Caenorhabditis elegans: one gene and its partner. The protein of the gene in region 1 interacts with the protein of each later gene in a biochemical or structural test. Each region holds a gene or a part of one and is shown on either strand. Other genes may lie near its edges.

The links.
Region 2: the proteins of kin-10 (region 1) and lov-1 form a complex in vitro, tested with the Caenorhabditis elegans proteins (one study listed by BioGRID).

The regions. Positions count from the first base shown.
Region 1 is NC_003279.8:8,283,211-8,294,777, reverse strand, and holds kin-10 (Casein kinase II subunit beta), read left to right. Parts: upstream 1-3,772; 5' UTR 3,773-3,860; intron 3,861-3,909; 5' UTR 3,910-3,963; coding exon 3,964-3,981; intron 3,982-4,138; coding exon 4,139-4,295; intron 4,296-4,345; coding exon 4,346-4,537; intron 4,538-4,704; coding exon 4,705-4,894; intron 4,895-5,426; coding exon 5,427-5,577; 3' UTR 5,578-5,817; downstream 5,818-11,567. Other genes in the region: npp-2 (Nuclear pore complex protein Nup85), read left to right, coding at 1,138-1,231, 1,278-1,813, 1,866-2,195, 2,420-2,553, 2,621-3,251, 3,301-3,372; dma-1 (LRRCT domain-containing protein), read right to left, coding at 10,480-10,833, 10,881-10,988, 11,038-11,166, 11,264-11,448; phaf-1 (PHAF1 protein T01G9.2), read left to right, coding at 6,670-6,729, 6,774-6,914, 6,965-7,092, 7,324-7,498, 7,695-7,798, 7,844-7,956, 8,002-8,075, 8,124-8,185 and 1 more. UniProt on the Caenorhabditis elegans protein: Participates in Wnt signaling. Plays a complex role in regulating the basal catalytic activity of the alpha subunit.
Region 2 is NC_003280.10:10,116,115-10,128,160, forward strand, and holds the start of lov-1 (Location of vulva defective 1), read right to left. Parts: upstream 5,712-12,046; coding exon 5,664-5,711; intron 5,616-5,663; coding exon 5,430-5,615; intron 5,382-5,429; coding exon 5,249-5,381; intron 4,988-5,248; coding exon 4,847-4,987; intron 4,802-4,846; coding exon 4,662-4,801; intron 4,617-4,661; coding exon 4,292-4,616; intron 4,064-4,291; coding exon 3,432-4,063; intron 3,381-3,431; coding exon 3,302-3,380; intron 3,148-3,301; coding exon 2,600-3,147; intron 2,555-2,599; coding exon 2,476-2,554; intron 2,427-2,475; coding exon 1,849-2,426; intron 1,800-1,848; coding exon 1,721-1,799; intron 1,162-1,720; coding exon 994-1,161; intron 951-993; coding exon 1-950. Other genes in the region: F27E5.7 (DUF2147 domain-containing protein), read left to right, coding at 6,764-6,889, 8,387-8,524, 8,633-8,776; putative G-protein coupled receptor F27E5.8, read right to left, coding at 9,784-10,025, 10,073-10,328, 10,375-10,542, 10,591-10,757, 10,798-10,912, 11,156-11,341. UniProt on the Caenorhabditis elegans protein: Required for two aspects of male mating behavior: response to hermaphrodite contact and vulva location. Acts in the same pathway as pkd-2 and atp-2 in response behavior. May be required for ciliary targeting of pkd-2.

The DNA of each region.
Region 1 (11,567 bases):
GATGAATGATAACGAATAGGGAAACGACGGAACGGAGTGTGCGTGGACTTTATTAGATGGGAGAAGAAGATTGTACCGTGAAGATGAATTTAATATTATTTACAGAATAAAATGGTTGAATAGAAAACGATTTTTCTTTTTTTACTTGATATTGGCTCACTTGTTGGAAACATTGAAAGAGTTTAGCCGCAAAACAACAAGTATTTACAGCGGTAGATCACACAAAAAATGATAGGTCAAAAAAAGTTTTAGGAATTAAATCCTTAGCAAAAGGCTTGAAATCTGAGATCTTTCAGCGAGATATAAATGATTAGAACCTTCTAATTGCATATCACTTGAATAAAACCAAAATTAAGCGGCGAGTTATTGATTTTTCAGAAAACAGATTTCTGCTGGTCAAACCTCAGAATTAGCTCATCCGCGACAAACAATTAATTTACACAAAGCAAAAAAAAAAAAATTGATTAATAAAGAGAAGAAACAAGAGCAGTTTGAAAAGGAAATAATTGTTTCACTTGTTTAACAAAAAAAGATCATAAAGGTATAGACGAAATTTGTGTTGTCCGGAGCCAGTTTGATTTGCACAATTATAGTGTAACTTCTTAAAAGATATCTATAGAAAGCTTTTCATAAAAAGTAAAAAAATAATTGCTCAGGGCTCCGCGGAGCTGGAGCTCCGGAAGTATGGCGCAAAAGTACAAGTGTCGTCAGTTAAAATGTCGAGTACGCAATACACCCCAGACACTGTCACGTCTGAATGCACAATCGCTTGCAATTTGAACACTTTCAATTTTCGAATTTTAGCGGAATTCCGCGGAAAACTTTTACATTTTCTTAAATATTCTTCTCATTTTTTAGGATTATTATTATTAATTGGTTTTTTAAAACTGCCGTGTAGTCCATCATTGTACTGATTCGAGATTAAACGCGTTATTTTTGTTCAAATTCCGAGAAGAAACTCAAGAAACAAAAGGAAATTTTAAACCCTATGGAATTATCAAGTTAAAACCGTAAGAAGTTTTACAGAACTCCCGGAAAAATTTTATTTATCAGAAATCTCAATTTTATAAGTTAATGTTTCTACCGTGCTTACTATATTTTTAATACCACTTCACATGACATTAGTATCTCTTTCAGATGACGGATGTCGCTCGAGAATTCGGGATAGCTGTCAGCGACTCCTCCACGGTCTTCGCCTTCCTAACAGATAAAAAAGGATTTTCAAATAAAGGTAAAAATTGCATCTTCTTCAGTTTCCAACATAAGAGATTTTTCAGAAACAGTCTTGGTCGAGAAAGTTTCACAAAATCGACAAATTCTTGCGACACCAAATCTCAGACGACTTGTTATCGAAATGTATTCTGTATTTGATAAATGTCAAAAAGGCTCCTCACCTGATGCACCTCTAGACACGCCTACTTGCTGCACATTCTCTCGAGCTTATCGTTCAGTTCTCTACAATGCCGCCGTGTCTCACAGCAGTTCCGACTTCATGACAGACTTTGCTTTGTGGTCACTTTACGAGAAATTATGGTTTGGAAGAGGTGATAGCTCGATATGTGCGGATCTTATTTCATGGGCCAATCAGAGCTTCACGTTTTCTAGAGGAGCCATGGAATCAGCTGTGGAATATCTGCATCCGGGGAAGACGATTCCAGAAGAATATTGGAAGGGAGTAGCAGTCAGCTTGCTTAGTTGCAATTTCAGCGATTGTGTTGAACTGTTGGAGCTACATGGAGGCGGATCAGAATGTGATGCATTCATTGAGGCTCTCACATTCTTCAATCCCGAAAACTTAGTCGACGAAGCATTAGTAAGACCCATTTATATAATAATTCTTAAACTTCGTAATATTCTTATTTCAGGCTAACACAGTAAATGAATGGAAGGATATCATGCGTGAAAATTTGACAAGTGGGAAGTACGGGAGCAACGAAAATTTCAAATATCTTACGAAGCTCCTACTCGGTGAGGAACGATACCTCGTATCTATGGCTTCACGGATTTTCGACACGTGGTGGCATTTTCTGCCATTCTTTGTGCTTGTCAAGAATCCATTCGCCGGACATGTCGAGCTCATTGAGCTAGCTGATGAGTGTAGAACACTATTCGTTGGAGAAGAGGAAGAGGAGGGTGCAAAGGAAAATGATGTATTCTGGTGTCTTATTTCGAAGGATGATATTAACTTTCAACAGGTTCTTGTTTTTATTCAAGAAATTAAATTAAATATAAATATCTCTTGAAAATAGGCTCACTATTTCTTTCACGATTAATTAAACGGCGACAGAACATTTCATTCAATTTTATCCCAATAAAAAAAAATCAAAATAATGTTCAAGAATATTTAACAATTTTCTTCAAAATAAATTCTAGATTGTTTTAAATAAGAATTAATTAATTTTACTGAATAAAATTTCAGTTGATTGCCTCGAATCCCTGGCTCGCAGTTCACCTGGTTGATCTTATTCACAAATCCACATTGGATCCCGAGTTTGAAGTGATGAGGAAAATGCACATGTTGGACTACGCCAGTGTTCTTATCTCTCATTCTCCGTTAGTTTTTGAAATTTCTAATTACTGAAAAAACATTTTAAAATATAACTTCACAAATTTTTTATAGTCTGTGGGAAATCGGAGCCGGATATCTTATTGCGTGTGGTACCGAAGGACTTCTACGTCTCGAAACACACATCGAAGGGCTTCACATTGAGGATGATGAGATGGCTGAGCAGTTGCTGGAAATATGTGAAGAGCATCGACTGGAAGACGCGAAAAGTTGTGTGACAAATACAATGACTTTCCGGTATCTGAAGCAAGGACATTGGAGTTCAACACTCGCTTGGGCGTTGAAAACTGGATCCAAAAAGACAATTGACTGGACAGTATCTCGAATTGTTGGTTCAAGTTCGAAGGATGAATTGGCTGCATTAAGAGTTTTATCTTCAATAACCAATCATTCTGTACTCTCACTTCCATCTCTTACCTTCCTCTACTCTTATCAACGATTTGTGAAGATGATGCACTGTGGTGATGTACTGGACTGTGTTCAACATCTGATACCGCTTATTATGATGCCTGATGTTCCAACTCAGTATTACTATGATCTCTTCGATTATTTAATCACGATTATCAAAGAGGATGGGCGTGCTGGAATCCGATTTTCCAAGGAGATTCTCTATGAGCTCTCAACCTTTTTGTCAACGTTTACGCTTGATAAACATCGAGATTTGAATGATAATTATATGAAAAAGGTAAGTTTTATAGACATTTTTATGATCATATAATTATAAATTGTTACAGGTGAAAGTGCTCAAAAAGATGGTAATGCTCAAGTTGACAGACTCGATTGCGAAAGGAATTGCGTGCTCTTGAATAATTTATGAATTAATTTTATTTTATTTACATTTGCCGATGTTCTTTTTTGTTCTGGGATCTCAGAAAATTTAATTTTTTGTATGTGAATAAGGATCACATCTCTTAATTTTTTTACTATTACTTGGTTTTCCACACAAACTCGTTGAATTTCGAGGCCAACCTACCTTCTTTTCGAGTTTTCCCCAGAGATCGATAGTGACCTATGTGCTATGCAACCGTGCCCCATTGCACGTCCACAAGGCCTCGTCAGCTCCCTCGTCCTCTTTTTTCTGTTTCGACAGAAAACTGCTGGAGTTTATGAATTTATGTGGGCGCACATGACTGTGATCTATTGATTTTCTTCTGCTTTTTTCAATAATTCTGAACCATTTCACCCAACCTGTACCCATAATTTCAGGCAGTTGTGTGCTTTGCGCGCAACTCGGCCAGTCATCGACGTGAACGCCACGGCTTCTGCTCGCTGGCGCCAACTCGATTCCACTTCGGTGAGTTATCATTAAAATATTATCAAAAAAAAATTTCTTTTGATTACAGGCAGAGTCTGGTTCGCAGTCAGAACAAAGCGCTAGTTTGTCTGGATCAGAAGTCATGAGTAGTTCGGAGGAGGTTTGTATTATATTTCTATTTTCTGCGGAAAACAATCAGAAAAATCTAAATAGCCGTTTTTTTTAATGATTTATATTTTAAACTATGAATTTAATAACAAGTTTTATGGTCGATTGGTGAAATTTATTTTTAGTTTCGAATCTTTTTTTTTGTTCAGGTATCATGGATCACATGGTTCTGTGGCCTTCGTGGAAATGAGTTTTTCTGTGAAGTCGACGAGGAATATATTCAGGATCGGTTCAATTTGACAGGTCTCAATGAGCAAGTGCCCAAGTATCGACAGGCTCTTGACATGATTCTTGACTTAGAACCAGGTGATATTTTTGCTGACTTCATGTGCCCCCGCAATGTAACCTTTTTCTAGAAGATGACATAGAGGATAACGCAACGAACACTGATCTTGTTGAACAAGCCGCTGAAATGCTTTATGGACTCATTCACGCTAGATATATTCTTACGAATAGAGGAATCTCACAGATGGTCGAAAAGTGGCGTGATCATGACTTTGGAGTTTGCCCACGTGTCTACTGTGAAAATCAGCCAATGCTTCCAATTGGTGAGTTATAAAAAAATCGCTACTTCATTGGTTGCGGATAATTTTTTTTGAGAAAAGTGAAACTATAAAGTACTAAATTTTCCTAATTTAAAAGTGCATTTCCAATAAAATTTAAAACAAATATTTGTTTTTACACTAAAATTTCTGTAAAATTCCAATTTTTCCAGGATTGTCTGATGTTCCTGGCGAGGCTATGGTGAAATTGTACTGTCCACGTTGCAATGATGTTTTCGTTCCACGATCATCACGTCATCAACATACTGATGGAAGCTATTTTGGCACCGGATTCCCACATATGCTCTTCTTTGTTCATCCTGATCTGCGTCCACGCAGACCAGTCACTCAATTCGTTCCAAAGTATGTCAGAGGATATATATTAAGCTAAATATTTGAAAATCCGAAATTCTAATTTAAAAAATCTTTAAAATCTCGGCAATCGAGTAAATCTTTTCATTTCAGTATACCAATTAAACTTTTTGAATAAAAAATGAAGTAAAATATTTGCTTGATTCGAAAACACAACTTAATAATGTTGGAAAATTCAAAACGACTAGTGTCTGAAGGTTATTTTTTCGGCATTCGGCAACTTTCAGGCTCTATTTGAGATCTTTTTTCAAATATTTCAACAAGAATAAGTTGCAATTTCGAATCAATAAAATATTTTGACACATTTCTAAAATCATTTTTAATTCAAAAAGTTGACTTGGTAGACTGAAATTAGAAGATTTACTCTATTGCCGAAATAAGTTGGCTGTACTAAATTAGATTCGAAATAATTTTAGAAATTAGAAGATCAAACAATAATATTTTATCCACTTTAAAAATTTAGCAGAACTTAGTACAATAATAATTATGTTATGTGTAAATTTTTAAATATCAAAATTTTCAGACTCTACGGTTTCAAAATTCATCCTGTTGCTTATGGAGGACAGGAGGGAAACAGCGGCGGAAATACGGCGAATAACGTTGCCGCAGCACAAAACAACACGACTCCAGCCGGGCAACAATCTGGAGGACAATTCAATAATTATGGTCTCTGAGCCACTTTCTTCCTTATTTTTGTTTTGATTTCTTCTTTCCAGTTTCCATTCAGAATGTCCCCCCTCTCAACACAACATCCTTATTTTCTTCATTGTTTCGTTTTTTCTTCTCCCCAAAATTTTCTTTTCCGACAAAACTCAAGAATCCGGCGGTTCTTCCATGCGTGTTTCTCTTCTTTTCTAAATCTGTTCTATTCCAACATTATGCGAATTTAAGAAATGAATGAAACGGTAGATCCCATACATCTCAAAAAGAGTGTTCCTAATTTTCTGTGTAAAAAGTGCAACGTTATTTATTTGTGCCTGTCTTCGTCACGCGGAAACAGCTGGGCGGGAAAGTGCGCTCTACTGCAGTCTCTCAGTCACAGCCTTCGATTCTGCCATCGACGTCATGTGTTTCTTTTCTTTTTTATTTACTATTTGAACGGTTTTAATATCTCCAGTTGATTTGGTTAACGATTAGCACATTGATTTCTGCTTATTTTGAAATATTTCAAAATTACAATTTTTGAAAACGCTCCATATTTTACCTGAAGAAAAAACTTTTGAACAGCTTTTCACATTAATTCCAATATATTTTTAAATTATATTGCATAAACGTGAAATTTTGCGAGGAAAAGGCGATACCCCGGTCTCGATACGCCTTTTTTGTAAAATAAAAACGGACGTGTACCTTTATAGAGTACTGTAATATCAAACTATCGTTGCTGCAAAATTTTTATCGATTTTCAGTGTTTTTCGGTAAAAATGTATTTGTTAAAAAAAATAATAAAAGAAAACGACACAAAATTTTTACAAATCGTGGGAAAAAGTATGAAAAGTCGATAAAAATTCAGTAGCAATGAACGTTTAAAATAACAGTACTTCTTAAAGGCGCAGACCCATTTGTTTTCAGAAAACAATCGTCGCGCCCAGACCGGGTACCGTACTATTGGCGGAAAAAAAATTTAGAAAAGAATATACCAAGTAAATATCAGTTCTCAATTTTAATATATATTTTTCTTGTGAATCATAGTTTAAAAATTCTTCTTTGTTTTTTCTCCAACTCTTCAAAAATTAAATAAAAGCTTTTACAGCTTTGAATCATCGAAAATGAATGGAAAACAGCAAGTCACAAAGAAACCATCAACTGAAGAAGATCTGAGCTTCACGGTTTGTTTTAAAGTCAAAAAATCAATAATAAATATTTTCCAAAGAAATTCAAGGTTGTACCAGATGTTGGTCTAAAAAGTTCACAATTCGAATTTGTGCTTGGTATGCCAATCAATCAATGTATTGCAATGATTCAGCAACATCCAAGAATGCTTACAAAAGTCGAATTGAAGTACAGTAAAAAGGTATAGAAATTAACTAATTATACTTTTAAATAAAGTTAAATTAAATTCAGGATCCATTCTACCAGGATATCATCATCTATATCGGTTCTACAGGAATTCGTCTCTATTTTGATGGCCTTTCACAGCTTATCAAGCTAATTGAAGTGGATAATCTTTCAATGATTACACTTACTTATAAGTATGATACCATCAAAAAAAAAAAACTACAGAAGCTCGTTTAAAACTATTGAATTTAAAACAAATTATGGCGTTTTGAAAATTCGAAAAATTTCAGCCTTGCATAAAATCTGAAAATTGAAAATTCTCTCTGTTGAATTCGGTCGTTTCGGGTCATTGTGAAACTATCAAAGAAAAAAAATCAATTTCAATTGCCAAGATAGTCATACAATTTCTTCATAAAAATTTTCAGCGATACAATCTTCTCTGATCCAAATAACATGGCGACGTTGGATCGGGTCAACGAATTTTTTGGATCGACACATCCAGGATCATATGATGATAAGCACAATATCTATGTGCAAAGTTGGCCGGGATTATCTTTCTGTTTCCCATATGGAGGAGAAAATTCGAATTTGGAAGTCAGGGTACTGTAGTTTGATCTTTTTGGGTATTAAAGTTGGAGTACCGTCTGTGGGTTTTTTCGAATCAAAAATACGATACCGAATATAGTAAAAAATTAAAAGAGTTTTTTCTAACCTACAGCCGCTACTTCACCTTTAATTTCCAAAAAGTTTTTTATATCTCCCAAAAACCGAAATTTCAAACATTCTTCAATTTCAGCCTGGATTTGGTGGAAATCTTCGTTCGCTGAAATATGATGCCAACTCTCAACCAAAACTTACCAAGATGTCCATTTATCGTGGACCAAATCCATCTGAGCCAGAGTGAGAATTTATTATTTATTTCTATTTATTTCTCAAAATTTGAAGATCCGTGGATACTCCATTCTCGTGTTATTGTGGTCAAAATCGGACGAGAAAAGTCGAAGCAATTTGGGAAAATGGGAATATTGTTGGAATTGATATTCAATTTGATACTCAAAGTACTGGAATTTTTTGAAATTATTAAAAAAAGTGAATATTTGCAGACGGAAGAATTGTCGATGGAGAGTATGATGTATCCACGTACACACGACAAATCTATTTTGGAGACTCTGTTTCGGTTGGTTTTCTCAATCAAAAAAATTTGTTCTAAAAATTTAAATTTTAGGATGTGCAATCGATTCTTGGAGCCCCGACAAAGGTCTTCTACAAGTCCGATGACAAGATGAAGTACGTTCTCGTTCTCTTGAAAATTCAAATTCTTTTCTCACAAATTTAGATTTATTTTCAATAGATGTTGAATTTTCCACTGAAAATTTAAACAATTTTTGAAGAAAAATTTTCTTAAAAAAAGTTGAAGGGTTTCAATGTAAGCGTTTTATATCAATTAAAAATAATTCATATAGCATTTTGTTGATATTCAGCAATATCCAATGAATAAATTAAAAAATTGTGAAAAAAGTTCTTTTTTTTCAAAATGCCTGAAATTTATTTAACAACTTTCCAACTAATATTTAAAAAGGATAAATTTTGAAAAAAAAAGTTAAAAGATTTCAGAAAATTTCATTAAAAAAATATTTAAAAATTCAGGAACGCCTAAAATTTCTCGAAAACTGAAGTTTTTAAAATTTAACCATTAACAGTTTCTAGCTTTATCAAAATTTCCGCTTCATCTGAATATTGAAAATTTCCAGAATTCATCGTGGACTTCACAAGGAGACACTCTATGGACCACCAAATTTCTTCTTCAACTACTTTGTAATGGGATTGGTAAGGTTTTTAGGGATTTAGATTACTGTAGCAATTCTTGCTATTGGGTACTATATTTTGTCTGTCAATGAGTCGAAGTTAATGTTCCAATCCCTTGTAATTGAACATATCCGGGAAAGGGATCGCTAATGCACACGCAATGGCTATTGTAGACAAATCTTTCTTCCGCATATGATAATAATCTGGGTAATCGTAGTGGTGGCTCCCTCTTGCATGTCCATGGCGTCCGGAAAGATTTACGACTCTGTAGAGAGAGAGAGAGAGAGAGAGAGACTCTTCGTTTGTGACACTTGTACGAATTTTCATCTGCTACATTTAACAAGAAGACGACTGAATTACTACTACACACTAATGACCTTCGTTTTTTGACACCGCACAGTTTATTTCATCAAGCAGTAAAGAAACTGAATGAGAGGACAAAGAAGGTGTCAATTCATTTTTTGTCGGAAGATGGATCAGAATTTCAAAGAAAACACAGCTATGGTCAATGATGAAAGCTTTTGTATGATTGAAAATTTCCTGCGTCATGGTTTCCTGAAATTGTAGTCTTTTTAGCTCATAGAAAACTTTTACCGACGCTCACGATCCTTACACAGGTGATTCGCCGTTTATGGACACCAACAGTAGGCTTCTACCCACAATGGATCTATACCAAAGGTTTTGGGTTTTGAATTTGTCGTCGATATATTAAATCTTCATTAACAAATTCCCCCGGAATTTTGAATATGAGGCAGATGTGCTGCCATATAAAGAATATTTATACAAGAAAGATGTCAATTAATTTAAAACCACGCGCGAACATACGATGGCAAGTCTTGGAAATTAGCTTTTGTAGTTTCAACAAGACTACTTCTTTTTGATCCAAGAAGCTTTGGTTGACTTCCAGAAGATTGATGCTTTTGTTTATTGAATCGTAGAGAAATTCGATCACAAAATTGTATACTCAAACTGAAAGTATACAATTTTATTGACTGTTCAAAAGCATAGAATAGTGGTAATTATCGAAAGAGACGGATGTTTACATGTGTACTTGTGCGACGAACACCGATCCGTCATTTTTCATAGTTATGTCTTGTTCTTCGTGGTCATCTATCCAACTTAATTGGCATTGGCTTACTCCAATTGTTTTGGGTGTCACTTGGGAATCTAACGGATGAGACGACGTGTCATAACAGATTGTGCAATCTACATCCACGAATTCGCGCGCGTGTGCACATACATACGCACATCAATTTATTATTCGAATGGCTCATAAACTCATAAATTAACGAGTCCCTGTCGAACAACCAATTTTCAATTCATAAACGTCAAAATTTTGTGGCTACGGAGATTTTCCCGCGGAGTTTTTTTAAACGAAAAAGTCAACTCTCCTTCTCGAAACCTTCTCAATTATGCATTTGTCTTGGTGTGCATTTGACAAATGAGTTGACCCCCACAGAGAACCAGGGCGTAAAGACAACAGCCTCGCCGATTTATTACTTCTTTGCCGACGGATTTACGGCCGAGAAGAGGTGTCTTACCTCTTGAAAACTACTATTATGCTGCTGATTAAGGCTCCTGTCTATTTCATTGAACTTGGTATATCTACGAGCAGTTTATTTTATTTACAGACAAAGGGTTAAACAATTGAACACCGTATCGAAAAAGGGGGCAAAAATACATGAAAATGGGGCTGGGAGATCGAACGACTAGATGGATGCAAATAATCACACGGATTTAGATTTTTGAAACATTTGAAACTCTCAAAAGGATATTTAAATGCCAAAATAGGATGATCCAGGTTTTGGAGGTGCTGGTGGAATCAATGGAGGAGTGGCTTTAAATGTTTCAGTACTAACCAAGAATGGATCAAATGGTGGTGATAATGGACCATGTGTATCATTTGTACTCGAAGAGCAACTATGTGTGTTTGCCATCGTGAGTGGAGTTCGAGAGTGTTCTCGTGTCACATATGATCCTTTGTACTGTCGCTCACGAAGGAAATAGATGCATCCAAGAATCATAAGAAGTAGTGCGGCAAAAAGGAGAACTCCTGCGAGAAGTATGAGCATTTCACTTGTTTGCGTTAATCCATACCGTGCACCAAACAAAACGGCACAGTCGTTTACCTGAAGTTTTTAAATAGTGAAATTAATAACGTGAATGTGAATCTTACGTCGGTAATTGCCAGAACTGAATGACCTTCCACAAGCGATGGTGTCGCGCATCGGACATTATCGTAGTTGAGAATGTGTCTCATCGCATAACGATCTCGCATATGAACCTGAAAAGATGTTCGAATTAATTCAGAAATAAGAGAGGAAAAGACTCACTTGAAGTCCTTGAATAGCACATGAACAATCCCAAGGATTTCCATCTACGTACACTTGTTCAACATTATTTAGGAATGCCAAATCTGTATGCGAGAAGGTGTGGAATCGGTTGGCTGTGATGTCGAAAGTCTAAAGAAATCTCAGTGAGCAGGTTTCAAATGACATGCGTGTCCCCATATAAGGGGGTCCACAAACGCTTCGAATTTCGTATAGAAAATGGACATACTTTCACATTTGGAAGCAAAGTGTTGATATTGTCAGGCAAATAAGTCAATTCATTTCCGGAAATGTTCAATGAAATCAGGTGGTAATAGCGAGACGGCAGCTGTACCGGGATGAATTTGATGTGGTTGTAGGCCAGTTCGAGATGAATCAACGACTTCAATGTATAGGTCCATGACTCCTCGAAATCTAAAATTACAAATTAATTATGCCATCTCTAGTAACTTTGAAAAACCGTTCTTCAAATTTAAAAATCGGAAAAACTTTTAAATTAAAAACAATCTAAAAAGTTTTAAAAATCTAGTTTT
Region 2 (12,046 bases), on another chromosome or scaffold:
AGTTCCATCTTTTGATTTTGTACTTGATACTCCCAAGGTATAGACTGTACTTCCTTTGAGAGCAAGATCGAGAGAAGACAGTACGGAGTTCAAGGATTGTGCGGAAGTCATATTGACATTTGCTAGTTTAGTGATAACTTTTGCCATTTCGTCGGCCAATTCCGAATTTGTTGTTGCAATATTGTCTTGCAATGTTTTCAAAACATCAACACTTGACATATTTCCGACTCCAGGGATTTTGAGGGTATTTGAGAGCAAACTTTGAGCAACTTCCACTAGATCTGCGGCAGGTAGAGATGAGATTTGATTGAGAAGAGAGCTGCTTGTGTTTAGAGAGTTGTTGGATGCAGATCCATCCATTATCCCAGCCAGTTGGTTCATTACATCAGCTTTTTGAGCATCTATGATCGCTTGTTCAGCTGCAGAAATTGGAGAAACTGTTGCAAGAGAGCTGCGAGTTTTAGTAGTTCTTGTAGATGGTTGCGCGGTAGCAGAGAATGCACCATTTGCACCAGAGGAATCGGAAGATCCAGACGTATCGGAGCCAGATGAGCTCTTGGTTGAAACACCAGAAGATCCATTTGAATCTGATCCTGAGCCAGATGTACTACCACCGTCTCCTAAATGGGATCCTGGTGTGGTAGCTGTTCCAGATCCTGTACCATCTCCATTCAATGCCGTTGTTTTTCCAGAGTTTACCCCGTCCGAACCCGTCCCTGAAGACCCCCCTGACCCACTTCCAGAAGCGGTCGTTCCTGATCCACCAGCCCCCGATCCCGTTGATGATTGTCCACTTCCAGATCCAGAAGTGGTTGATCTGACTGCATCACCCGTGCTAAGAGTTGTCGCAGATCCTCCTGAACCTGTTCCACCAGTTCCCCCAGTAGCTCCAGTTCCACCGGTTTTGCCACCGGCATCATCCGACGAGCTGACAGTGGTTGGTGGGGTTTCTAAAAATTGAATTTTATGAAAAAAAAACAGTAATGCGCTTACCAGTAGTTGTAGTTGGAAGAACTACATTCATAGTAAAGATGTGACTGGCAGATTCTCCAGATGCACGATTGGTAACATTAATTAAGAATTCATAAGTTCCAGTTGCAGGTACAAAGCTGGTCATTGGGTTGAAAGATACGGAGGCACTATATGCACCATTTTTTCCAACTGTAATATAGTACATAAATGAAAATTGATAACGTTGCTAACTAGGGAGTGCTCTTTGTACTCCATGGAAATATGAGTCGGAAAACTACTTTTCGGGTAGTTTATGTCATTTTCTACACGATTCTGAAAGAAAATCCTGCCGGTTTTGGGTTTTAGTGTGAAAAGTTTGCGTTTGAAAATACCACCCTAAATTCAGTTGATTTAACACTACGCGACCCATATTTCATGTGCAACGGGAAAGCCAAGTACACTGAAAACTCACTTTCAAATTTTCAAAGCAAAGTCATAATTTCGGTGGTCCAGTGGATAACGGCGGGAGCGGCGCCAGTTTTCAGTGTACTTGGCTTTCCCGTTGCACATGAAATATGGGTCGCGTAGTGTTAAATCAACTGAATTTAGGGTGGTATTTTCAAACGCAAACTTTTCACACTAAAACCCAAAACCGGCAGGATTTTCTTTCAGAATCGTGTAGAAAATGATATCAACTACCGGAAAAGTAGTTTTCCGACTCATATTTCCATGGAGTACAAAAAGCACTCCCTAGTAGGCAAAATCTCACACTCTGTCAAGCAATTGCTTTCCTTCAGTAAAACAAATGGCTGAGAAGAATCGTTTCGACATTGACAGGTCATAGCAGTCTTAAAATATTAAGGTTTTTTTTAAGTAAGATTGATTTGAATATCTTACCGTTAAAGCTCCGGGCTCTTTGTTTGGAATTGGTGTAATATAAAATGGATTTTCAGAGTAATACACTGTCTCGTTCCATGTCAAATTTTCCAATACAAAGTCGTAAGGGGTTTCTGTACTTGCGTCTGGATCCACAGTTGTTGTTCTCATGCTATCAGATGCACTTGATGAATCGGATGGTGTTTGAGATAAACCAGATGAATCTGAAGTGGATGGAGTTGAGTTAGATGAGTCTATGGTGGTGGAATCTGAAGTTGTGCCAGAATCCGATGTTGATGTAGAACTGTCTTGTGAAGCATCAGTCGTGCTAGCTTCCAAAGTCGACGTAGATTCAATTCCTGAAGTTGTGGAAATGGCTGAACTTTCGGAAGAAGATCCAGTTGAAGTTGTACTGGTAACTTCGGATGTACTTGTTGAATCCGCAACAACATTCAATGTGAAAATGTGGCTGACCACTTGCATTGTCGTCAAATCCGTCATGTTGATTCGAAACTCATAGGTGCCAATGCCAACAAGAAATGTTTCAATTGGTTGAATTGGAATATTAGAAGAATAAGTTGCGTTTAGGACCGTGTTTGCTGGAAATTCGCTTTAATTCAATAATTTCAAAAAGTTTGTTAATCCTACAGTAGTTTAAGCAAGTGGATTCCTTAATTATAAGAAAAGGCTCAGTAGACACATTTCTGCATTCAAATGTTTGGCTTCTCTAAAATCATTCGTTTCATTTGGCTCAACGATTTATTAAACCCGCCTCAGTAGGAGTAATGGCATTAGTTGGTAAAGGTACAATGTTGATGCTGTCTTCATTGTGACGTGTCTCGTTCCATGACAATCCACTGTCCAAGATGAAATCGAACTGATCGACTGACAAAGTGGAAGTTGAATCAGCAGTGGTAGAACTCGGACTGGAAGAAGTTGTGGATGTGTCCGAGATGGTAGTTGTACTGGAATCAGTAGTACTTTCTTCGGAAGTTGTTGTGGATTCTTGTAAAGTAGTTGTGCTCCCAGCCGACGTTGTCGTAGAATCGCTTGAACGTGTGGATGACGGCTCTGTGACTGTGGATGTTGATAATGTGGAAGATGGAGTTGATGGTGTAGATGACGTAGAGCTTGCTACAGCAGATGTAGAAGATTCCGACTCTATGGTGGTGGAAGAATATTCCTGAATATAAACGTTCGCATACGTGTAGTAAACTTTTTTATCGTCGGTTGTCATAGTTGCTCTGAAGGTGTAGTTTCCAGGACCAACGAATGTGCTAGCAGGGTACGTCCCTCCGAGACGTGGCATTGATACACTTTCTGAATATATTGAAAAAATATGTGTAAAAAATCTAAATAACTATCGCCCGAAAAAGGTTTGCTTTTTTTCCGATTTGAAGTTTTTATAGAAACGTTTTCAGAATTAAAGATTTTGCCTGTCTCTAATTTATAATAAGTCTTTATAAACAATTACTCGTGAAACATGCTCCGTCTTTAGTGGTTGAAACATAATTAGAAGATGTAGGGCTTGTACATTCGATGGATGTTTGATACTGAAATACAGTGTTACATTTGAATAATGCAGTCTTCAATATTGTACTTACTCCAATGATTCCGAGGCCGGAATTAAGCGTTAGGTTCACACTTGTGGAATCATAGAACGTTGTAGTTGCCTTTTCTACAAAATAGAAGTCTGGATTAGTTCCGTCCGAGCTAGTAGTTGTCTCAGATTTTGTTGTTGTTGAACTTTGCTGAGTAGACGTGGATGATTGAGTAGAAGAAGCGGTGCTTGACACAGACGAAGAAGCCGTTGAACTTGGAGTGGAAGAAGAACTCGATGGCCCAGTAGTTGATGTTGAAGGAGCAGTTGTGCTGGTTGTTACTGTAGACGAAGGAGATGTCGATGTGGACTCAGTGCTTGTTGGGGTCGTTACAGTAGTCGAGGAGCTTGAACTAGATGTCACCGTAGAAGTCACAGGGGATGTTGACGGGGAAGTAGTTACAGTACTCGTCGATGGTTCGGTTGTTGACGTTGAAGCAGTCGAGGTGGTCAAAGTAGTGGTTGGTTCAGTTGTTGTAACAGTAGAAGATGTAGATGTAACTTCTGTTGTGGTTGTGGAAGTAGATGGTTCTTCGGTAGTAGTGGATGTCAACATAGTGGTGGTGAAAGTGGTAGACGTAGTGGTCTCGTCAAGGTAGGAGCAAATCGCATTATCCGGGAGAGACGACAAAGTTGCTGAAAATTTTCGTTAAGGATTTTCTGGATAACTAACAATGCACAACAAGGTGATCGGTAATAGTGACTGCTTTGTTTTACCCTGAGCAAACTGTAATTGTATAAAATCTGAAATATTGGCAATACAAACGGGTTTGAAGAAAATTATTAACAATTTTATTCCTGCCTCTCAATCATAACAGCAAATTCTGGTTTGCTTGTAATTATTATTGTGCGTCCGAAACTCACATGTGATTTCGGGTGTTGTAGTGGTTGGAATACTTGTACTCAGTGTGGTGGAGCTCGGCGAGCTTGTGATTGTGCTAGAACTCTGCTGAGTTGTGCTAGTTGATGATGTCGACGTGGATGCTGTGGAAGTGAACGTTGTTGACGTGGATTCGATGGTGGTGGATGTTGATGGAGTTGATGTGCTTGTGCTCATTGCGGTAGTCACCGTACTTGTACTTGTTGGGACGGTTGTTGTAGATGTCACGGTACTAGTCACGGTTGTGGTAGTTGGAGTTGTAGTCGAGGTTGAAGTTGACTCAATAGTGTAGTCGCAAGTATTATCACCCTGGAATAAAATGAAAGTAAACACTATCTGAGAAATCGTACTCACAGCGTCTCGTTTCATTCTTCTCAAAGTAGGTGATCCAGAAGTCCTCATGCTAAACTGTTTTGCCCTGACACCCTTAAGTACCTGCCCATCATAATACACTCCTTGACTATCACTGATAGCTGTGCTCTTTTCAGAACGATCTGAAATACTGTTTAGCCAATGTTCATGAGCAATTAAGAACTGACAAGGTCGCTTGCACATTCTTCTCGCATACTCTTCGTTGATCTCTCCGCTCTCACACTTCTCTCGGTAGCCCAGCAACGCCATCTCGTTTCCACCGACTTGGAGCCACCATAGGGAGCCATCACATCTGTCGATACCGTCATCTGAGAAAGAGTTTCTATTAAAATGTTAGAAACACATAGCACTACATATGCAAATAACGTTTCACCAGATTCAGAATGCGCAATTCATGCCTATCTCATAGCCTACCTATGTGTCTACCTGAGTATCTACTTGAGTACCTTGCAAAGAAGATTAATCGGCACAAACCAAGTCAAGACTTTGTTGGCATAGGTCTTCCAGGTGAGTAACGCCGACATTATACATAGGTACGCACAAAACCTTCCCCAAATAATAATCCTTACCATAACAAACTTCATATTTCGCCTCCACAGCAATACTGATCTCATCGTCATCATTCACTTCATTCAAAGTAATCCAAGTTGAGTTCAAAAAGAGTCCGACAAGCCTGGTCTCTGTTTGGATGCAGTTGTGAATCTGAATAGGAACAACAAGGTTTTACAACTAAAAAAATACACGACTAACCAATTCCAAACTTGAAACTTCCGTAACCTTGTTCTCAACTGAAAGTCTATTCAATCCGCAGCTCAATTTGATTTTAACGACTCCTTGTGAATTCCTTGGAACTCCTCCAATTGTTGTGTCATCGTTGTCTAATCGAAAAGTTGCGATCCCGTCAAGAAGTTGGTAATGCAATCCATCAATTTGTATCTTAAAAGTAGTTTTATTCAGCTTTTCCTTCTGAGATTTTTCACTCACCGCCGATATTGCCAGTAGCAATAGAACAAAGAAGTTTGACTTCTTCATCCAATGAGCTGGAAGGTTATCTTGTAGAAGTTTTGTAAAAATTCGCCTGAAAACAAAAATGAATTCAGAGCAGAAAAGACAACAACTGAAAAATGAAGTTGTCGAAAAGCGAAAAGGCGGGCTGAATCGAAGGACCATCGCTGGGATACGTTAACGGCCCACAATTTCCATGGAAATTTTGAAGTTTTTGAAAAACTGACGAGGATTTAGAAATTGGGAAAGAAAGCTGTATTGTAAAGAAATTTATTAATGAAATTTGAATAATAAATTGAAATAAAAATTTTTGAATAAAAAAATTCTTCCAAACCAAACACCCAATTTTTTAAACTTTACAAATTTACTTATTAATGTCTGGATAAAAATATAACCACACAAAATCGGTACTCACCGTTCAAAATTTGACTGAAATTCCAGTTTTAGTTTAGCTCCCAATTAATATATTTTTCAATTTCCAAAAAAATTATTTTCTTCCAAACCAAACACCCAATTTTTTTTAAAACTACAGATTTATTAATTGATAGCTGAATATTATAAACATAAAAAATCGACACTCGCTGTTCAAAATTTTTACTGAAAATCCAGTTTCAGTGTAGCTCCCAATTAATATTACTATTTCAAAACGAAACTTTGGCACAATGATGAGAACAGTGGGATTTTTTTCAACTTTGCACAATTCAGATAGAAATAACAATAATTTCGTCTGACAATTTTACAGTATTCGATTGTTTCCCATTTCCTTGTTAGTTCAAAGTCTATAGATTGTGATTATGAATGACTCAATGAAATGTTCAAATCAAGTTGGTATCCGATAATTGTGTGTTTGATGAACGGAATATGCCGATAAAGAGATAATAAAATACAAAAAATATCTCTCTATCTCGTCACTTTATGTTCTCCTCCCTTATTCTTTTTCGTGATGTTAAGATATTTTTAGACAGTATTACGCATTACACCCCTCTATCATTTGTCTTTTTCTTTTTCTCCTCTTTTATCACTTATTCTTCGAATTCTCTCACACAATTTGACATTTGACAAGTCTCGACATTCTGAAAATGAGTCGAATCTCTCGCATTTCTATATTATTTATTTCTACTTTTGCTAGTCTTGTTGGCTTTTCAATACCATTTTCCGATTTTCGACTACCAGAAAATACAGTTGTGTGCAGTATTTTACAGGATGTAAGTTTATCCCAATTCAAAAAATTCCTTTTGTCAAAAAAAACAAAATTATTAAAACTAGACATTATACAGTGTGAGAAAGTTCTATAGGACCCCCCTCATTTTTGACGTTTCACCTATATTGAAAATTTTTTTTGAAAAATTTTTTCCGTAGATTGATTCAAAATGTCAAAATATGTGGACACAAAAATTTTCAGACTTGTACCTCTAAAACTGGCTGCGTACGGAAAAAAGTTGGAAAATCAGGTGTGCAACTTCTATAGGACCCCCTCATATTTTTGACGATTTCACCGGAAAAAAATAGTTTTTGAAGTTAATATCACGTAAATAGTTATGAAAATGAGAATAAACACAGTTTCAAGCAATTTCATATTGGCACTTGGTGGTTGACCCACAACTGTCCTCTAACAGTCCTGTAACAGAAGTTTCCACGTGTCATCTGCCCTATCACTACCAAACTTTACAAAATGATACATGACACTGTTCTAACAACATCCCTAAGTTTTTGGAAAAATCCGAAAAGTTTGAGCCCCGCTGCACCGCTGAAACCGTACATGGGCCTCATTTTTCAGGCCGTTTCTCCGTTTCAGTGTGTATAACTCGGGTCACGGTGAACCCCCGACTTTGAAAACTGTTCAATAAACTCGTATGAACATTACGCTAGCATCCACAAAAAAATGGTCACGATTTCGTGGTTGCAATGTTCTAAAAATTTACTTTTACCCTGAGTCTATGAAATTATGCATAATAACATCATTATTAGTACAGAAAACTTGCTCTATTGACAATTTTATTCTGGTTCAACTCAGAGGCTGGTAAATCCTTATTGCTAATCACAGATACACTCACAATGATTGTGAGAGTTCATTGAACAATTTTCAATGTCGGGGGTTCACCGGGACCCGAGTTATACACACTGAAACGGAGAAACGGCCTGAAAAATGAGGCCCATGTACGGTTTCAGCGGTGCAGCGGGGCTCAAACTTTTCGGATTTTTCCAAAAACTTAGGGATGTTGTTAGAACAGTGTCATGTATCATTTTGTAAAGTTTGGTAGTGATAGGGCAGATGACACGTGGAAACTTCTGTTACAGGACTGTTAGAGGACAGTTGTGGGTCAACCACCAAGTGCCAATATGAAATTGCTTGAAACTGTGTTTATTCTCATTTTCATAACTATTTACGTGATATTAACTTCAAAAACTATTTTTTTCCGGTGAAATCGTCAAAAATATGAGGGGGTCCTATAGAAGTTGCACACCTGATTTTCCAACTTTTTTCCGTACGCAGCCAGTTTTAGAGGTACAAGTCTGAAAATTTTTGTGTCCACATATTTTGACATTTTGAATCAATCTACGGAAAAAATTTTTCAAAAAAAATTTTCAATATAGGTGAAACGTCAAAAATGAGGGGGGTCCTATAGAACTTTCTCACACTGTATAAGTGAATCTTTGTAAGAAAGCTCTGAATTTAATACAAATAAATGCGCATATTTTAGACTAAATGTGAATGGAAGCAAAACTGGAAGAATGCAGAGGGTGTGAGAAGAGAGCTCGACGCAGGAAAACCACCAATTCAGTTATTCTACTTTTGTAAGGAGAATCGCACTGAAACCTGTGGAATTTGGTTAGACGAGGTACTTTACACACACGCAATGGAGGCTAACATAATTTTTTGTCATAAACTTTGAATGATTTTGAAGTCAAACACTTTGGATCTTAAATTAATTGTTGTCCATTTCCAGAATGAGAAACCAATCGAGGATGCTCCAACAACTGACCGATTATCTGGCGAAGCTTTCATAATCGAAAAAATGGGTCTTCATGTTCTTGGAGACTATATGAAATTTCCTGAGGAAAAGGGAGATAAAAAGCTGATAATTGAATAACTTTTGTTGTCTTTTGAATATTCTCATCATTTGTATGTATATAAATAGCCTATTTCAATTCCATTCTCTTTTTTTGACTGTGGTGGTCAATGAAATGACCGACCGTAATAAAATGCTTTTTGTTGCCTTGAAGTTTGATGTTCGATTGAAAAAACGATAAAATTGGATGGAATTGGGTCTATGGGAGGTATGTGTGGAGAATAAGGAAGTCGGACATTAAACATGTATAAAATTAGAATTTTATAAGAAATTCAAACATTTTGAAAAAAAGTTTTCTACAAGGAAATAACTCGGGGAATTTTTCGAATTTTTATGGCATTTTCCAGAACTTTTTTGTAGCGTTTCTTCCTGATCAAAAGTTGATTTTTCGTTGATTATCTATTTTTCTGATTCATAGTAAAAATATGCAAAGTTATGTTTTGGCATGGTTTTGATAATTGATAATTGATAACATAGCCAGTCTGAAACCGGGTCCAAAATATTTCAGATCAGTTCCAGCGCCCTCATCGGTTCACTATCCGTACGTTCTCGTAATAACCAACAAGTAGTAGGATCTCCAATGACAGTTGTAATATTTGTTTGAGGTCGTTGTGTAAAACAGTCACATCTTCAAAGATCGTTTGATTTTCGATTGAGAAAATACATGACTGAAGGGGGAAGATAAATGACATCTTGCAAGAGGACAAAAAAGATCATGATATGATAAAACAGTTGATAATGACTTGTAAACTGAAAGTGTTGGGACATTGTGTACCTTGTGAGGCATGTATGTACTTCCTAGTTTAGTTTTAGAATCAGAACACAGAGAAGAATCAAAAATATTTTCTCTTAATTTTGTAAATATTCTTACTGAACAAATCCGTTAAAAACAAATTTAAAAATAAAAATTATTTGGCGTTTACTTTGGCAGTAGGCGTAGGCACAATGAATGCTGAGGCGCAACCATTTTTGTGCCTACATAGACGCCTTAATCCAAACTATTCTCAAAAAACAAAAATATAAATCAACTAAGTATTCCACTGTCTACTCAATTCTTGAAAATGAAATTCGGTTTGTGTTCGAATTGGAGCAGTTGACATCTCGAAGCCTCCGATTTCATTCAAATTCGATGGCCGCACCGCATAACTGTTCCATCCAATAAACTTTCGCAGAAATCGAAATAGATTTGGATGACATATAAATGCACATATTGGGAAGCTTATTGTATAGATTGCAGTTATAATGTCAAATAGTTGAGCGGCTTCACCTCCTAAAATTTGAACATATTTATTTTGAAATTTTTTCAAACTAACAAACCCCTGCCAAACCACTTGACAACTTCTTCAAACCTTGCCGGCTCTTTTGTCATCACCGACACCCAATACCCTCCATAAATCAAAACTGAAACTGAAAGCGTTGAAAAAATAAGCATTAAGGCAAGTAATGGGAATAATAAGTGTGTTGAGCGAATATTTTCTGTTATCTGATATCTTTCACTAAGGTTCACAGTATTGAACCAAATATCTCTAGTATTGTATTTTTTGATATTTTTATTGTATACTATCGTGATTCCCTGAAAGTTCAAAAGACTGAATTTTTAGTAAATTGATTATAAATACCCCAACACTTGCAATAAATCCTATCACAATAATGAAGATCGTTATCATAAACATAGTTGGCGTTAAATATTCGATTTGGCACGGAAGATGTGGGTACAGTAAGAAATGTTCCATGCGGTTGGCACGATCCAGAAAGTTTCCAAGTATCATGAACATTGGAATGAACCACTGAAATTTGTAAGTACTTGTAAAATACACTATCACCTTCCTTTATACCTGTAAAAACGCAAAAATACAGGGAAAAATGTGAATTTTGGTCTTCTCGTAATCCTTAGACCAAATCGTACCAGCGGTTCTTTCGAGCATAATGAATACGAATGAAAGGCAAACCGAGTCAGCCGATGAATGATGCACCGCATTAGCAATGAAGCACCACGCATGACCTGGAAAATATGTTTTGATAATCTAAAGAATGAATCTCACTTGAAATATCCACGTCACGAAGGTGGGCAATGCAAAGTGGGACTGCAATCATTGCACGGCCCACTGCCATTAAGATGAAACCAAGGCAGCAGTTGCAAATTAGTATTCGGAGATTCTGAAATTTGTCAGAGTGGTGTCAATAAAAGTTTATTATAGTTTTTAAAAAGCATTAAGATAAGCTAACTTACATTTGACGAAAAAATTATTTCTGAAAAGCTCAGATAAAAAATTAGATACTTGGTCAAAGTGAATAATAATAAATACGAGTTTTAGTTTATCAAAGGATCTCTTCTCTCTCTCAGCTCAGAGAGTAAAATTCATTTCCAATTTTGCTAGCGCGGCAAAATTAAAGACTCACCAAATGCAAACAACTTGTCGAAAAAACAGCTCCAATCATAAAAATGTTCTCTAGAACTCCAATTACCAGCAGACCCATTTCAATGCAATAAATCAGAAAGTTTCCATCCGTCACCATTTCTGCAGATGTAAAGTTTCCGAGTAAAAATCGCATATATTTGGGTGACGATGAATCTTGCTCGGACATTTTGAACTTTTGAATTCTGCGAGAACCCGTTTCTGAAATGTTAAGCCAATAACAAAATTGAGATCAAATATTTCAAGAAAATACTGAAGTAGAGATTGGTCAATTGGAAGAATGTGTTGGCGAAAAACAACAGAATCGAATAAAAGTGCAGCTTTTCGTAAATCTTATTTTCAACGTCAGAAAATGATTGAAAATTATTATCAAATCTGGAAGCTTTAATAAAATTGATGAACGACTTGAAAAAAAAACGCTGATCAGTGAAAAATCAAGCCTGCTTTTTTTAAAACAAATATTTTCTGCTCTGATAAAACTAAATTTATTAATTGTGAAAAAACCAGCGATATTCTCTGATCATGAAAACGGATTTACGAATAGATTCAGACATTATTACATAGTTTATGCCAATTTCGAAAAGCCGTTGCCAGAGAAAATTACTATTTTCTGTTAAAGTTTCTGTTAGTTTACGGCCTTAGACGTGATAATTGGTATGTTAAACAATATGTAGATCAAAAGTCAGACATTATTGAAGCATAAAAAATACACGTAGGAACACTGGCACTCGTCTACTAAAAAAAATCTTTCAAATAGTGTTTGTTTCAAGCAATACAGGTTTAGATTTAAAAAAAATTAAATGATTTATTTTTCAAACTTCCAAATGTTAGGTTGAGAAAAAATTGAAATTCACCGAAAATATAGATTTTCGTA